Arabidopsis thaliana: one gene and its partners. The protein of the gene in region 1 interacts with the protein of each later gene in a biochemical or structural test. Each region holds a gene or a part of one and is shown in the gene's direction. Other genes may lie near its edges.

Region 1 (7,095 bases):
TTCTTCTTTGCTTCTTCTTTATCGATGTGCTTCCTTGTAAAAGACATATCTTTGGATAAAGTGTTCAACTTTTTGCATGTGAATCGTACTCTTCTCAGAGATGTCACTGGAAACTTCGAGAGCACCTCCTCCGCCACATCCTTTGGAAGATCCGAGAGCATCGTCGTTGATTGTTTTTGCATATCGAAGAAATTTTACTTTACCTTTTACTCTGATTTCTTCAGAGATTATGAGAGAACGAACACTTCAGAAATGTTAGATGTTTCTAAATTGGGCTTGGGCTTTAAAGTATTACCCAAAGGCTATTAAAGTCGTTTTTTCCAATTTGGGCTCCTGATTTATTAGTATGGGAGGGCTTAGTTTTGGGCTTTAAAGTATGCCCCAATGCCTAATAATGTCTAGCTAGTTCTTCGTTATACTAAAGAACGAATTTTGGAAATTCTTGAATTACGATTGTACCCTTATATTAATTTCATCTTTTGTCTTATTCTTATTTATGCAAAAGTTATGCAAAAGTTTTAAGAAATTAGCAGCCAAGCCTAAAGAATCATTGAGAGTTTATAAGGGTGATTTGGTAATTGAGTAGTTTATTAGCTAATTTGATTTCAGTGGCACGTGGTAAATTACTGGTGGTTTAAAACTATTGTACGTGGACGATTCTTAGCCAACGAACTAGTACACTCTAGTGCGAACAGGTACATGATTAAATTCGTGGACATCCAATCATATCTCGTCCAAGATAAGACCAAAACATATGAGGTCATTACTCACTAATAAACATTTAAACTTTTGTTTTGTCAACGAATAGTGTGTTTTTCTTTTGTCATTCCAATTTTTTTCTGTTTTCTTTTCACTATTCACTTTTGGTCCATAATATTTTATGGGTATATAAGATAATCGTTTTTGTCTTCATACATGGTAACATGGATGTTTATATATGTAATAGTGTTAAAAAGAAAAAGTGGTCGGTTATACTTAACTTATTATGATAGAGCTTTGAAAACAAACAACACGAGATGGAGAAATTAGTCATTCAACAAAAGAAAAGGACGAACGCAGTGACTTAACATGAAACTGTGAGCGGCCCAAAATCATTTATGTAATGGACCCTTAACTTTTCATGCACACGATTTTTCTCATTTATATGTTTTTCTGCTCTCTTTTTTTCCTCTTTATCATTACTTTAATTTATTTTATGTTCTTTTTTCGAAGCACCATAATTGTATGCTTTCACCAAATAATCCAAATTTAGAATCATTAATATGTCAAAAAAGAATTGCATATATTCAATAAAACGTAATGCTAAGTAGTACAATGCATGTATTATACAAAATGTAATGATATAGATCCAACGTATATATCAAAGTGGACCAAAATATATCTTATGTATTAGACGAGTTTACTATGCAAAATTTATGATTCTATTCCGCATGGAGCGTGCTAATACTACTTCGAACCCCTTTGAGACCAATATGTGATTCTATATTCTATCTAGTACAAATTATGAGAAGTATATACGTACGATGAGAGTATAAAACATTTCAATATTTGTATAGAGAGGACACCACTTGGTTGACTTGACCCACGATAAGATATTGAAGAAACCAAACTTGTATAGTACGAATTCGAAATCGTAATTGATGATGCGATTCGACAAGTCCAGGGGCTCCCTCCCACGCGCAATGGGCCCAGCAACCACGTGTGGCCACTAGAGAGAATAAACCATTAGCCCACGTGATCTTGGGCCCAATCAATCTCTCCCTCACATTAAACGACAAAACAAAAGCTCTTCTGGGTTAAATTGATAAATATCAAAACTTTAAAGGTAATTTGCTAAAATCGCCACACAAAAAAAGTCGCAGAAAATATATGAGGAAACAAAAAGCGAAGACGACAAAAAAAAAAAAAACTCTGATTTTTTTTTGTTATCTCTCTCTATCTGAGAGGCACACATTTTGCTTCGTCTTCTTCAATTTATTTTATTGGTTTCTCCACTTATCTCCGATCTCAATTCTCCCCATTTTCTTCTTCCTCAAGTTCAAAATTCTTGAGAATTTAGCTCTACCAGAATTCGTCTCCGATAACTAGTGGATGATGATTCACCCTAAATCCTTCCTTGTCTCAAGGTAATTCTGAGAAATTTCTCAAATTCAAAATCAAACGGCATGGTTTCCGGAGTCGGGGGTAGTGGCGGTGGCCGTGGCGGTGGCCGTGGCGGAGAAGAAGAACCGTCGTCAAGTCACACTCCTAATAACCGAAGAGGAGGAGAACAAGCTCAATCGTCGGGAACGAAATCTCTCAGACCAAGAAGCAACACTGAATCAATGAGCAAAGCAATTCAACAGTACACCGTCGACGCAAGACTCCACGCCGTTTTCGAACAATCCGGCGAATCAGGGAAATCATTCGACTACTCACAATCACTCAAAACGACGACGTACGGTTCCTCTGTACCTGAGCAACAGATCACAGCTTATCTCTCTCGAATCCAGCGAGGTGGTTACATTCAGCCTTTCGGATGTATGATCGCCGTCGATGAATCCAGTTTCCGGATCATCGGTTACAGTGAAAACGCCAGAGAAATGTTAGGGATTATGCCTCAATCTGTTCCTACTCTTGAGAAACCTGAGATTCTAGCTATGGGAACTGATGTGAGATCTTTGTTCACTTCTTCGAGCTCGATTCTACTCGAGCGTGCTTTCGTTGCTCGAGAGATTACCTTGTTAAATCCGGTTTGGATCCATTCCAAGAATACTGGTAAACCGTTTTACGCCATTCTTCATAGGATTGATGTTGGTGTTGTTATTGATTTAGAGCCAGCTAGAACTGAAGATCCTGCGCTTTCTATTGCTGGTGCTGTTCAATCGCAGAAACTCGCGGTTCGTGCGATTTCTCAGTTACAGGCTCTTCCTGGTGGAGATATTAAGCTTTTGTGTGACACTGTCGTGGAAAGTGTGAGGGACTTGACTGGTTATGATCGTGTTATGGTTTATAAGTTTCATGAAGATGAGCATGGAGAAGTTGTAGCTGAGAGTAAACGAGATGATTTAGAGCCTTATATTGGACTGCATTATCCTGCTACTGATATTCCTCAAGCGTCAAGGTTCTTGTTTAAGCAGAACCGTGTCCGAATGATAGTAGATTGCAATGCCACACCTGTTCTTGTGGTCCAGGACGATAGGCTAACTCAGTCTATGTGCTTGGTTGGTTCTACTCTTAGGGCTCCTCATGGTTGTCACTCTCAGTATATGGCTAACATGGGATCTATTGCGTCTTTAGCAATGGCGGTTATAATCAATGGAAATGAAGATGATGGGAGCAATGTAGCTAGTGGAAGAAGCTCGATGAGGCTTTGGGGTTTGGTTGTTTGCCATCACACTTCTTCTCGCTGCATACCGTTTCCGCTAAGGTATGCTTGTGAGTTTTTGATGCAGGCTTTCGGTTTACAGTTAAACATGGAATTGCAGTTAGCTTTGCAAATGTCAGAGAAACGCGTTTTGAGAACGCAGACACTGTTATGTGATATGCTTCTGCGTGACTCGCCTGCTGGAATTGTTACACAGAGTCCCAGTATCATGGACTTAGTGAAATGTGACGGTGCAGCATTTCTTTACCACGGGAAGTATTACCCGTTGGGTGTTGCTCCTAGTGAAGTTCAGATAAAAGATGTTGTGGAGTGGTTGCTTGCGAATCATGCGGATTCAACCGGATTAAGCACTGATAGTTTAGGCGATGCGGGGTATCCCGGTGCAGCTGCGTTAGGGGATGCTGTGTGCGGTATGGCAGTTGCATATATCACAAAAAGAGACTTTCTTTTTTGGTTTCGATCTCACACTGCGAAAGAAATCAAATGGGGAGGCGCTAAGCATCATCCGGAGGATAAAGATGATGGGCAACGAATGCATCCTCGTTCGTCCTTTCAGGCTTTTCTTGAAGTTGTTAAGAGCCGGAGTCAGCCATGGGAAACTGCGGAAATGGATGCGATTCACTCGCTCCAGCTTATTCTGAGAGACTCTTTTAAAGAATCTGAGGCGGCTATGAACTCTAAAGTTGTGGATGGTGTGGTTCAGCCATGTAGGGATATGGCGGGGGAACAGGGGATTGATGAGTTAGGTGCAGTTGCAAGAGAGATGGTTAGGCTCATTGAGACTGCAACTGTTCCTATATTCGCTGTGGATGCCGGAGGCTGCATCAATGGATGGAACGCTAAGATTGCAGAGTTGACAGGTCTCTCAGTTGAAGAAGCTATGGGGAAGTCTCTGGTTTCTGATTTAATATACAAAGAGAATGAAGCAACTGTCAATAAGCTTCTTTCTCGTGCTTTGAGAGGTATATTCAGTTCTTCAGCTATGTTGTATCTGCGGTGTATATACCAATTCGCGGGTATTTGATTATTTTGTTGCATTTGGCAATGCAGGGGACGAGGAAAAGAATGTGGAGGTTAAGCTGAAAACTTTCAGCCCCGAACTACAAGGGAAAGCAGTTTTTGTGGTTGTGAATGCTTGTTCCAGCAAGGACTACTTGAACAACATTGTCGGCGTTTGTTTTGTTGGACAAGACGTTACTAGTCAGAAAATCGTAATGGATAAGTTCATCAACATACAAGGAGATTACAAGGCTATTGTACATAGCCCAAACCCTCTAATCCCGCCAATTTTTGCTGCTGACGAGAACACGTGCTGCCTGGAATGGAACATGGCGATGGAAAAGCTTACGGGTTGGTCTCGCAGTGAAGTGATTGGGAAAATGATTGTCGGGGAAGTGTTTGGGAGCTGTTGCATGCTAAAGGGTCCTGATGCTTTAACCAAGTTCATGATTGTATTGCATAATGCGATTGGTGGCCAAGATACGGATAAGTTCCCTTTCCCATTCTTTGACCGCAATGGGAAGTTTGTTCAGGCTCTATTGACTGCAAACAAGCGGGTTAGCCTCGAGGGAAAGGTTATTGGGGCTTTCTGTTTCTTGCAAATCCCGAGCCCTGAGCTGCAGCAAGCTTTAGCAGTCCAACGGAGGCAGGACACAGAGTGTTTCACGAAGGCAAAAGAGTTGGCTTATATTTGTCAGGTGATAAAGAATCCTTTGAGCGGTATGCGTTTCGCAAACTCATTGTTGGAGGCCACAGACTTGAACGAGGACCAGAAGCAGTTACTTGAAACAAGTGTTTCTTGCGAGAAACAGATCTCAAGGATCGTCGGGGACATGGATCTTGAAAGCATTGAAGACGGGTGAGTATAGTTAGAATTTATCTAGAAGCTAGTTTTGCTTACTTCACAAAATGTGACCAAATCCCAAATTTTGTTTTTTTCATTGATCAGTTCATTTGTGCTAAAGAGGGAAGAGTTTTTCCTTGGAAGTGTCATAAACGCGATTGTAAGTCAAGCGATGTTCTTATTAAGGGACAGAGGTCTTCAGCTGATCCGTGACATTCCCGAAGAGATCAAATCAATAGAGGTTTTTGGAGACCAGATAAGGATTCAACAGCTCCTGGCTGAGTTTCTGCTGAGTATAATCCGGTATGCACCATCTCAAGAGTGGGTGGAGATCCATTTAAGCCAACTTTCAAAGCAAATGGCTGATGGATTCGCCGCCATCCGCACAGAATTCAGGTACATTTCATTGTTCCCGCTGTTGTCTCCACATATCCATAACCAAAATTATGCAATCCGGTTTTTTTGGTTCCTTATTTTGTACATAAAGAAAATGAATTTGGTTTGGTTAATTACGAATTTGATTTAGGCGTTTAAAGAATTTGAGGTTTTAACCAATTCACTATTTGTTTTGGTTATTGTTTAGTTGGAACCTAGATTAGTTTGATTTTTGTATTCGGTTTAGTCGACTTGGGAACTTTTAGACACATCCATAGGCCTAGAATTAGCAGTCAAGGAATGTAATGTTTTCAAATTGATGAAAACCAGCTCAAAAGTGTAAAACTTGGGTTTCATGTGTTGGTGTCTTTGTTATGTCTTTATTCGTTGTTTGCAGAATGGCGTGTCCAGGTGAAGGTCTGCCTCCAGAGCTAGTCCGAGACATGTTCCATAGCAGCAGGTGGACAAGCCCTGAAGGTTTAGGTCTAAGCGTATGTCGAAAGATTTTAAAGCTAATGAACGGTGAGGTTCAATACATCCGAGAATCAGAACGGTCCTATTTCCTCATCATTCTGGAACTCCCTGTACCTCGAAAGCGACCATTGTCAACTGCTAGTGGAAGTGGTGACATGATGCTGATGATGCCATATTAGTCACACTTCAGTTGGTATGAGAGTTTGTATCATTGTATGAGTGTTTGTGTGTCTAACGACGTCGGAGGAGGATAGAAAGTTTTTTTTTTGTTTCCGGTGAGATTAGTAGAGAAGAGGGAGATTATTTGCGTTCAGCTCAGCTCGCCGGAAAAAAAACGTAACAGTAGTTGTAGAGAATTTCAAGACTTTTGTTTGTGCTGTGTAAATTGACAACTCCGAGAGAAACAAAACAATGAGATAAGAAGAGAGCATATTAATCGATGACCAATCCTTTTAATTTGTTACTCGTTACATCAATTCAAAATTATTATTTGATTGTTAACCATTTATAAATCATATTATATCCAATTAGTCTGTCTACGCAATCAAGAGGTAAAGGCCAATCACATTAATTTTAAAAGATTTATGATGAAATGGTACCGTCCAAAAAGTTGAAATTTTACAAACTCCACTATATATATAAAAAGTGAGATGTTTAAATTAGGCTGGCTAAGCTTAGGATGTAACACATTAACAATAGTTAATTTAATGTTTATGATGTATCGCACTATAGTTTTGATGTGTATGCTCTCCAGGCTGTTTCGTTTTTCACATTACCCACACTAAACTCACCTTTTTTCTTAAAGAAAATTAAAGTAAAGCTCAAAGACTGAAATATTAACAATATATAACTAATCATTAAGGAATCAAAACTCCATTATATATGCTCTATAAATACTCACCAATCAATAGCCTTCTAAATGTCTCAAACCCAATTCAAACCCTTAAACCCACCTAAAACCTTCAAAACTTATAATGGTTTCTAGTACACTTTTGGTTATGTCAATATCTCTCTTTCTTGGTTTAAGCATATTGCT
Region 2 (5,206 bases), 570 kb from region 1:
AATAAATAATTAAGTTTGATAGATCATGCAAGAGGGTGGTTTAGCAACAAAAATAAACATATTACCCTGTCTCATAAATCATTGAGATTATCAATAAAAAAAACACCCAATTTCTGTCTTAATATTGTCCCCACCAATGTGAGTCCATATCTGATTCTCTGTTTCTTTCTTCCCTACTTGGAATTATATAAAAATATGTATATACATATTAATGTGTATATATATATATATATGTGCGTGTTCCCATATCAATGATAAATGCTCTTTATCAAAAGGTAAAATGATTATAAAAAAAAATAAGTTGTTTCATTTTATTTGTTGTTTTCAATGCAAAATTTATTATTATTTTATTATTTTTGATTCTTGAAATTCTGCAACTTTTTATTGGTTAAATTATTTTAAAATATGTAATTAAACATATTTTTAAAATTTAAGAAAACAGAAACTAAATGATCTTAATCAATGTACCAAAATCTTAAACTAGAACAAAATAGAAACAAAAGAAGTATTATAGAAGAAATTAACACTTTGTTCACTAACTTGACTACTATAAATGATTATAAATTAACACTTTATGTAGCATTCGACTTTTCTGTTTATAGAAGAGGAGACTCACTTAAGTCTTTAATATCATGTTTGCATATGTTGTAGTCTTTTGTTTTTAACATCTTTGGATTGACATGGTCTATTCTATAGCCAATATCTATTATGCAAGATAACACGATTTAGTGGAGTCAAACTCTGGTGGAAAAAGCGGAATCAAATGGATTTAACCACAAGACTAAAGGAATATTTCCTGCAAGATATATGTAGTCTTAAATCTATAATTTAGCGATATAAAAAAGGACAATTTTTAAATATGATACTTAAGTTTTTGTTTATTTCTTTAAAAATACCACTTAATGTTTGGTTTCTTAAAATAACATAAAACTTAAATTTAACTTCCAACATTCAAAATTAAACTCTAAACTTTAAACACTAAACCCTAACCCCTAAAAACAATATCTTAAAATTAAAATGGTCAATTCAAACTTAATTTTTTTAATTCTGATGAACTCTTGAAAATCAAAATTGAAGTATAATATTTTTGGAAAACAAAACTTTTGGTGGTATTTTGACAACACAACTTGAAAGTGTGATATTTTGCTACAATACTCCTCTAGAATTCGAGGCTCCCTTAAAACAAAATATTATTTTCGTGTCAGTCATATTTTTTTGAGACATTTCTCAAAATACCACATTTTCAAGTCTTATTGCTAAAATACCATTTCATCCGGTATTCGATCTTCTATCAAAAGAAAATTATATTCATGTAGGATGTCTAGGTTTGGTCCAGACAAGTTAAATGGTAATCTGGTAACATGCGATTCAGTTATGTTTAAGTGTTAATCAGTTAATATTCTAAACTCGGAATAAATGTGTGATGATCCTTGAATATAAATTTATTTTGTAATACTTAAATATATTTTTACCAAAATTAACCGGATCATTGGATAAAGTTTATAAAATAATTTTTTTTTGATGATAATGCCATGAAAACAATTTATAGTACGGATGAGAAACAATGAGGCTGATTATTTTATCTCCGTCAGCTACAAATGATCTCAGACATTTTGTTTTTATGTTCAACTTGGTTTTTTATTCAGAGGTTAAAAAATGGGCACAAGTTTCTATTCAGACACATACACACATAAATAAAATAGAGAATTCACTGTTAAAGTTAGTTGACACAATAGTAAATGCGATACATGCTAGAGTCACGGAAGAGGCAAAAACAAACTCCAAAGAGAGACATATAAGAAAAAGACAAAAACCCTTAAGAAGCTTATCACATTCTTAAAGCACGAAAATTCAGAATAAGATTCAGTCATCCTTTAGCACAAAAAAAAAAAAAAAAAGATCCAGTCATCCAATACTAGTTCCCCAGAAATAAAGGTGATATATTTTTTTTTTTGAGAAGCCTATCCAGTACCAACCTCAATTCTCTAGGTTAGATATAGTCTGGGTAGTATATATGTTTCTTCACTGATTAGTAATCTCTGTGTGTAGTACACTTACTCACTAGTGCTACTCTTTTGGATCTTTCTGGGGTTTTTCTTTTGGTTATAAAACCAGAAGAAGAAGATAACTGTTTGTTATTTTAATACTTACCATTATCATCATCTTTGTAGAGAGAGAGATATGCATCATTTTGTCCCTGACTTCGATACCGATGATGATTATGTCAACAACCATAATTCTTCTTTGAATCATCTTCCTAGAAAATCCATTACTACTATGTAAGTTCTTTTATTCAAACTTATATTAAAAAAAAAAAAAAGTTTGATTAGTTCAAGATCTGAGTATTTATAGTATTGAAAACTTTAGGGGTGAAGATGATGATCTTATGGAGCTTTTATGGCAGAACGGTCAAGTTGTTGTTCAAAACCAGAGACTTCACACCAAGAAACCTTCTTCTTCTCCACCGAAGCTTCTTCCTTCTATGGATCCTCAGCAGCAACCTTCTTCAGATCAGAATCTTTTTATTCAAGAAGATGAAATGACTTCTTGGCTTCATTATCCTCTCCGTGACGATGATTTCTGCTCAGATCTTCTCTTCTCCGCCGCACCTACTGCGACGGCTACCGCGACGGTGAGTCAAGTCACCGCCGCGAGACCGCCAGTATCTTCGACGAATGAGTCGAGGCCGCCGGTGAGGAACTTCATGAATTTCTCGAGGCTGAGAGGGGATTTTAATAACGGTAGAGGTGGTGAATCTGGACCGTTGCTTTCGAAGGCGGTTGTGAGAGAATCTACGCAGGTAAGTCCTAGCGCAACACCGTCGGCGGCGGCGAGTGAATCCGGTTTAACACGGCGGACGGATGGTACTGACAGTTCCGCCGTAGCTGGAGGCGGCGCGTATAATCGGAAGGGAAAAGCAGTGGCTATGACGGCGCCGGCGATCGAGATAACCGGTACATCGTCATCTGTAGTGTCAAAGAGCGAAATCGAACCGGAGAAGACGAACGTCGATGATAGGAAACGAAAAGAGAGAGAAGCCACCACTACTGATGAAACTGAATCCCGTAGCGAGGTGAGTCAAAAAAACACAGAACAGAGTCGTTGTTAGCTATCGTGCGCAAGTCAAATACGGCGCATTTTAGTCTGACTTTGTAGTTTTCAGCGCATTTTTAATTAACTTTTTTGGTGTTTTCTTGTGGTGCAGGAAACAAAACAAGCACGTGTATCAACAACATCTACCAAGAGATCTCGTGCTGCTGAAGTTCATAATCTCTCTGAAAGAGTACGTTTGTGTTTTTTCTTATGTTTTTGTAATCTTTTTCGATAAAGATTTCGCAATGAATCTGAAGAATGTCGCGGATTTGGTAACAGAAACGGAGAGATAGGATCAATGAGAGAATGAAAGCTTTGCAAGAACTTATACCTCGCTGCAACAAGGTCTTCGACGATCTTTTTTCTTTCTCTTCAAGTTATTGTATACGTTAACCTTGTTACTGATTGTTGTTTCTTTGATCCTCAGTCAGATAAAGCTTCGATGCTAGATGAAGCTATTGAGTACATGAAATCTCTTCAGCTTCAAATACAGGTTCATTTTCTTTAAAGGATTCTAAGTCTTGAAAGCCCTTTTTAAGTTCTTGAAAATGTACACTTTACCATGAAAACTCCAGTTTATATGACTGAGATTAATGCAGATGATGTCAATGGGATGTGGAATGATGCCAATGATGTATCCGGGCATGCAACAGTACATGCCTCATATGGCGATGGGTATGGGTATGAACCAGCCTATTCCTCCTCCTTCCTTCATGCCATTCCCCAACATGTTAGCCGCTCAAAGACCTTTGCCTACACAAACTCACATGGCCGGGTCAGGACCGCAATACCCTGTTCATGCTTCTGACCCGTCAAGAGTCTTTGTACCGAACCAGCAGTATGATCCAACCTCGGGCCAGCCTCAGTATCCAGCTGGTTACACGGATCCATATCAGCAGTTCCGCGGTCTCCACCCGACCCAACCACCTCAGTTTCAGGTACTAAACAGTCATCTCTTTCCCAAAAATGACTAGTTCCTCTGCTTACAAGTCACAAGTTCTTATCTTTCTTATTTTAGAATCAAGCAACATCGTACCCAAGTTCGAGCAGGGTGAGTAGTAGTAAGGAATCTGAGGATCACGGAAACCACACAACAGGTTAATAATGTCCATGGAGCAACAAGAAGATCTGTTTTCACAAGCAAACACAATTTCTTATCCGACCCGACCCAACCACCTCAGTTTCAGGTACTAAACAGTCATCTTTTTCCCAAAAATGGCTAGTTCCTCTGCTTACAAGTCACAAGTTCTTATCTTTCTTATTTTAGAATCAAGCAACATCGTATCCAAGTTCGAGCAGGGTGAGTAGTAGTAAGGAATCTGAGGATCACGGAAACCACACAACAGGTTAATAATGTCCATGGAGCAACAAGAAGATCTGTTTTCACAAGCAAACACAATTTTGAGAAATTGACAGAGAGACCTAACATGTATATATATCGCCATCTGTTTCTTGTTTTTCTTTGGTTTGTTTTGTCCTCTCTTCTCAGGTTGTATACTTAGAGAGCTGTACATGTAATGATCCAGAGATCTAGGAATCAATACATAGAGGTTGCAGAGGCTTAGTGCAAAGAATAAATATGAGAAAGTTAGGTTCATATACATACCCGATCATTATTCTTTTCTCGTCTATTATTATTACTTTTGACGAAAGCAATTCTTGATTAAGCTTAACAGTGAATATTTACAAATGTTCCACTCCCAAGTCCCAAAGACTTATCGATACAAATGCACAAACAAATCTTAGTCCTTGCAACTAAGCTCACAATGTGACACAAAATATGTAAATAGACGGACAAAAGCCAGCAAACAAAAGCAAGAAAATTAATGATGTAATTGGCCAAGCATTGCCCATTTTGTAGTGTCTTTCATAGGATCTCTTCATCTAAAAACGTAGTGATGTCAACTAATATGGTATCTCCAGTCCATGACCATAATATCGAAAATATAAAGCTAAAAGAAAAGGCAAACAAATTTCTCAAACCGTTAAGACTTGCTATCTCCATGACCATAAGACTTGACAAACATGCATATATATGTATCAAACCGTTAAATCAATTTTGTATTTGCTTAATAAAGAAGATGTAAAAAGAAGTTTAACATTTATAGTATTT
Region 3 (4,996 bases), on another chromosome or scaffold:
ACTTCCATCGCCGCCACCGCCGCCTGAATGTTTCAGAACGGTCTCTTATAGAGTTAGGGTTTTGACGTTTTGTTCGGCCCTTTTCTCTGATAAATTTGTATTTTTCGGACTAAACTGGGCCGTATCTTAGGCCCAATAACGCATCTCCACAACACAGTACAATATCTGTTATATGACATGACTTAAAACTTTTGGGCCTTTTCTGATAAATTCAATTTGCTAATGTCATTCTATTTAATGTGATGTTATCTTCATCCTATGAATATGCATATTCATAAATATTTAATGTATGTATATGGTTCCTTAATCAATGATGATTGATAGATTCGTTCCTTCGTCGAAATCTAATGTATATGCATAGAATTAATTCATATATCGGTTTAGAAGATGATGGAATTAATTATCCAACTAGGCGACGACTTATATGTCGACATGAGTTATAAATTCAAATACAACGACATCATTTGAGTCAAATGCAAACAAAAATTATAAGAAAAATAAAATAGCAATCGAAGGGTTTTGGGGTTTTATGATTTATGGCTGGCATCTGTGTAACCGTGTTCCTCTTTGCTTGATTGGGATAACAACGTTTTACATGTATCGTCCACGACGAACGAATCTATCTATCAACTTAATTCATCCAACTAGCAAATAGCAACTTGCATACAAAATAATTTATCAAAAAAAAAAAAAACTTGCATACGGAAGAAAAAGTGTTATTATTCAGCAATTTTCACTAAACTACTCATATTTAAATTCCATATTTTGCACTAAATTACTATTTCTATGGCTGGAAACAAAAACTGAGTTACTTGGCTCATGGCCTTCTATAGCCTTGAATGGACGCTATTACGACCTCGTCTCTTTCGTGGAAAAAGCAAATGAGGGCCAAAGACTTTTAAAGGGAAATGTCTCCTTTCGGTGGATGCTTTCTTCACAAATGCACCCACTATATATGTCTGTCTGTCTACTTGTAAGTTGCAATGTAATATATTCATGAATTTATCATACTAATAATATGTTTGTTTATCATTAGATCGGTAGGGGTTATGCACATTAAACGATAAGATTGATGTGATAAGGGTTAGAAACTGATCTACTGTTAAATTATTGTGATAAGGATCGGAAATTAATGTGATCATAATTTTGGTGGACCATTGTTTGTCTGTGGTCCATGACAAACAAGTCACAACGGTCCACGGTTTATTACGACATTGTGAATTTGTGATTGCATATTTAGGTTCAAAACTGTTATTAATATCCAAAATTTTGTGTATAATTAATAAATTCCAAATTCACAATCAACTAAAAGTTATATGTATAAACTTGCAGTTGTTTAGAGAATGATAATAACACAAAAACTTACGATGGTAGCTTTAACTAGTCAACACGTGAAATAAATGCGATGTGGAAATTTGCCGGGGGAAAAAATGATGACTTCTCAAGATTATTTCCGCTCGGGTTTTAATGAGACTCTGACATGAAATTGAATTCAGATGATTATAAAACGGTTCATATATTCATATAGTAGATGATGATATAAACTCATCGAAGCATCGTAGAAAATAGAGAACTTCAATTTGTTTTTTGTTTACCATTATTAGAGATACTATTCGCTGAAAGAGAAGCATAAGAGGGGTGTTATGATTTGACAAAAACACCCTTAATCATTGGTCAAGACTCAAAGAGTGTTGCAGATAAGGTACAGATCAGAAACCCACCTCTAGAAATCGAGCAATAGATCTCTCTCAACTTCACAGACAAAATCCAACCGAGTTGGTGGGTCTCACTAACTCTTTAACTAGTTGTCTGACAATTCGCCACGTGTCGGTCATCCTGATCAGTTTCAGTACTATTGCCCCCACCGAATCATTATCTCCCCCTCGCTCACTCGCTTACTTACCGTAATAATCTCTCTGCTTCCCTCCTCTAGCTCTTGTCCCTTTCTGTCTGAACCTGGCAAGAAGAACCTTAGCCTCTCTTTCTTCTTTCTCTCTCTCTCTCTCTGTGTTACTGTTCTGTTTCAACTTTACTCCCTCAGTTTCAGAACAATTCCCTATCTAGAAGAGAGATAAAACCGAGAAGGTTTTGGAGATAGAATCTTTTGTTCTTCTTTTGTCCCTCCTTGCTCGATTTTTGTTACGTGTGAAGCAATAAAAAAAAACTGATATAGCTAAATCTTCCATCCATTCAGAGGCTTCTAAATCTGGTAATTACTTTTATAGCTTCCCCTTAGTAAGAGTTTACTATATATAGAATTAGTTGCTTTATTAAATCATTTCCTCCTAGATTGTTGGAGAGGGTTGTTTGGTTTAATTATTTTCTAATCATTAAACTGTTGGGATTTCGAATAATCTTTTCTAAGTTGATTGCTTTCATCATCCTTTTTCCTCAAATCTCCTGTTAATCATTATACTAATTATGAATCAAATCATTTCTTATTCACTTACAAAAAAGTAATATATTCTTTATTTAAGTGTCTTTACAGATCTGACATGGAACAAGTGTTTGCTGATTGGAATTTTGAAGATAATTTTCACATGTCCACTAATAAAAGATCAATCAGGTATATATCAATTTTCCAATTCAAGTATTTCATAATTATATACCAATTTCACATCTTAATCATAGCTATTTAAGTATTGTTTGTTTAAAATATGTTTGTAAACATTCATATGTTGGGACAGACCAGAAGATGAATTAGTGGAGCTATTGTGGAGAGATGGTCAAGTGGTTTTACAAAGCCAAGCTCGTAGAGAACCGTCAGTCCAAGTCCAAACCCACAAACAAGAAACCCTAAGAAAACCCAACAATATTTTTCTTGACAACCAAGAAACAGTACAAAAGCCTAACTACGCTGCTCTAGATGATCAAGAAACCGTCTCCTGGATACAATACCCTCCGGATGACGTCATCGACCCTTTCGAATCCGAGTTCTCCTCTCATTTCTTCTCTTCGATCGATCACCTCGGAGGTCCTGAGAAGCCACGAACGATCGAAGAGACAGTTAAGCATGAGGCTCAAGCCATGGCTCCTCCTAAGTTTAGATCCTCGGTTATAACAGTCGGACCGAGTCATTGCGGCAGCAACCAGTCAACAAATATTCATCAGGCCACTACACTTCCGGTTTCTATGAGTGATAGAAGCAAGAACGTCGAAGAAAGACTTGACACTTCGTCAGGTGGCTCCTCCGGTTGCAGCTATGGAAGGAACAACAAAGAAACCGTTAGTGGAACAAGTGTAACCATTGACCGTAAAAGAAAACATGTTATGGATGCTGATCAAGAATCTGTGTCTCAATCAGATATAGGTTTGACCTCAACCGATGATCAAACCATGGGTAACAAATCGAGCCAACGGTCAGGATCTACTCGAAGAAGCCGTGCAGCTGAAGTTCATAATCTCTCAGAAAGGGTATACATATACTATTTCTGACTAGTTGATCAACCATTCAGTAATAATAATTCTGATGTGATCTTTGTCTATTAATTACAGAGGAGGAGAGATCGGATCAATGAAAGAATGAAAGCTCTTCAAGAACTCATACCTCACTGCAGCAGAGTAAGTTTTTTCATCACAAAAAAACTGAGTTAATTAAGCTGTAATTGATTGGTGTGTTTAAATATGGTTTTGTCTTCTTCTTTTTTTGTGTAGACAGATAAAGCTTCGATATTGGATGAAGCAATTGATTACTTAAAATCACTTCAAATGCAACTCCAAGTGATGTGGATGGGAAGTGGAATGGCGGCGGCGGCAGCAGCAGCAGCAAGTCCGATGATGTTTCCCGGGGTACAATCATCTCCATACATTAATCAGATGGCTATGCAAAGTCAGATGCAATTGTCTCAATTCCCGGTTATGAACCGGTCCGCTCCGCAGAACCATCCCGGTTTAGTATGTCAAAACCCGGTACAGTTGCAGCTCCAAGCACAGAACCAAATCTTATCGGAGCAGCTCGCTAGGTACATGGGCGGGATTCCCCAGATGCCGCCGGCGGGAAATCAGGTCAGTTGCAGACGGCATCGTTTTGAAGAAAGACAAATATATTTATTTAATATCTGACGTGTCATGTTTTAAATTAGATGCAGACCGTGCAACAACAACCAGCGGACATGTTGGGATTTGGATCTCCGGCGGGACCGCAAAGTCAACTGTCGGCACCGGCGACCACCGACAGTCTTCATATGGGTAAAATAGGCTGACTTGGCATATAGTTTTCCTCCGAAATTATTCTTCTTACAGTTGGTGATTGTTATTTATTTTTGGTCGCCTAAGCAAGCATAAAAGCTAAGTCAAATGTATTATAGAGATCTAATAAGTTAGTCTCATACTTATAACTTATTTTTAAACAGTTGAATTATAGTATCAATCAAGTGTTGGGAACCTAAAGATCATACATGTGTCAATACTTTTATATTTGTTCTCAAGGTTCATCAGAAAAACAAAATAAAAAGGATAGACTAGGCCTGCATTTGACATTATCATGGGCTTTTTTGGGTCTATGAATATGAACATTAACCCATATTACTGCTCAAAACGCATACGTTATACAAAAAACGGAAAACGCTAACGTGGTTTACTCCACCACGATTCGTACGTAACGACTAGCGAGTCCCATACCTACTCGATTTTTAGTTTCCTCAAGTTAACGGTGAAATCAAATTACCGATTATGTCCTTCTAAAGTGACACGTGTCTTACAAGAGGAGCGAGTTTATCCTAATCACATACTCGAGCGTGTAGGTTTCCGATTAAAGCGAAGCAGAAAAAAATTACTAAAATAATAAAAACGTATAGAATGTGATTAATTAAGTCAACCAATAAGCATCTTACAAATCAGCACTCTGAAAACAAACACGATTATTAATAGAAAAAGCTGCGACCCGACTCCTGAGCCTCTCTCTTTCTATCGCTCTTTGATTTTGTTTCTCATTGTTTTGCTTCAAATTACGCATTCGAATCTGATCTTCGTTGATCTCTGTGGAAGAAACAGATAA

The links.
Region 2: the proteins of PHYB (region 1) and PIL5 form a complex in vitro, tested with the Arabidopsis thaliana proteins (3 studies listed by BioGRID).
Region 3: the proteins of PHYB (region 1) and PIL6 form a complex in vitro, tested with the Arabidopsis thaliana proteins (2 studies listed by BioGRID, with this or other methods).

The regions. Positions count from the first base shown.
Region 1 is NC_003071.7:8,137,914-8,145,008, forward strand, and holds PHYB (phytochrome B), read left to right. Parts: upstream 1-1,849; 5' UTR 1,850-2,165; coding exon 2,166-4,329; intron 4,330-4,417; coding exon 4,418-5,225; intron 5,226-5,315; coding exon 5,316-5,606; coding exon of another isoform or gene 5,607-5,736; exon of another isoform or gene 5,737-5,982; coding exon 5,983-6,238; 3' UTR 6,239-6,548; downstream 6,549-7,095. Other genes in the region: AT2G18780 (F-box and associated interaction domains-containing protein), read right to left, coding at 1-182; XTH21 (xyloglucan endotransglucosylase/hydrolase 21), read left to right, coding at 7,034-7,095. UniProt on the Arabidopsis thaliana protein: Regulatory photoreceptor which exists in two forms that are reversibly interconvertible by light: the Pr form that absorbs maximally in the red region of the spectrum and the Pfr form that absorbs maximally in the far-red region.
Region 2 is NC_003071.7:8,703,514-8,708,719, reverse strand, and holds PIL5 (phytochrome interacting factor 3-like 5), read left to right. Parts: upstream 1-1,715; 5' UTR 1,716-1,935; exon of another isoform or gene 1,936-2,171; 5' UTR 2,172-2,181; coding exon 2,182-2,279; intron 2,280-2,367; coding exon 2,368-3,073; intron 3,074-3,205; coding exon 3,206-3,283; intron 3,284-3,372; coding exon 3,373-3,438; intron 3,439-3,520; coding exon 3,521-3,586; coding exon of another isoform or gene 3,587-3,601; intron 3,602-3,692; coding exon 3,693-4,031; intron 4,032-4,111; coding exon 4,112-4,195; 3' UTR 4,196-4,280; intron 4,281-4,360; coding exon of another isoform or gene 4,361-4,444; 3' UTR 4,445-4,696; downstream 4,697-5,206. UniProt on the Arabidopsis thaliana protein: Transcription activator. Negatively regulates chlorophyll biosynthesis and seed germination in the dark, and lightinduced degradation of PIF1 relieves this negative regulation to promote photomorphogenesis.
Region 3 is NC_003074.8:21,827,395-21,832,390, reverse strand, and holds PIL6 (phytochrome interacting factor 3-like 6), read left to right. Parts: upstream 1-1,553; 5' UTR 1,554-2,209; exon of another isoform or gene 2,210-2,488; 5' UTR 2,489-2,495; coding exon 2,496-2,566; intron 2,567-2,687; coding exon 2,688-3,414; intron 3,415-3,495; coding exon 3,496-3,561; intron 3,562-3,654; coding exon 3,655-4,005; intron 4,006-4,082; coding exon 4,083-4,202; 3' UTR 4,203-4,486; downstream 4,487-4,996. Other genes in the region: AT3G59070 (Cytochrome b561/ferric reductase transmembrane with DOMON related domain-containing protein), read left to right, coding at 1-27. UniProt on the Arabidopsis thaliana protein: Transcription factor acting negatively in the phytochrome B signaling pathway to promote the shade-avoidance response. Regulates PHYB abundance at the post-transcriptional level, possibly via the ubiquitin-proteasome pathway.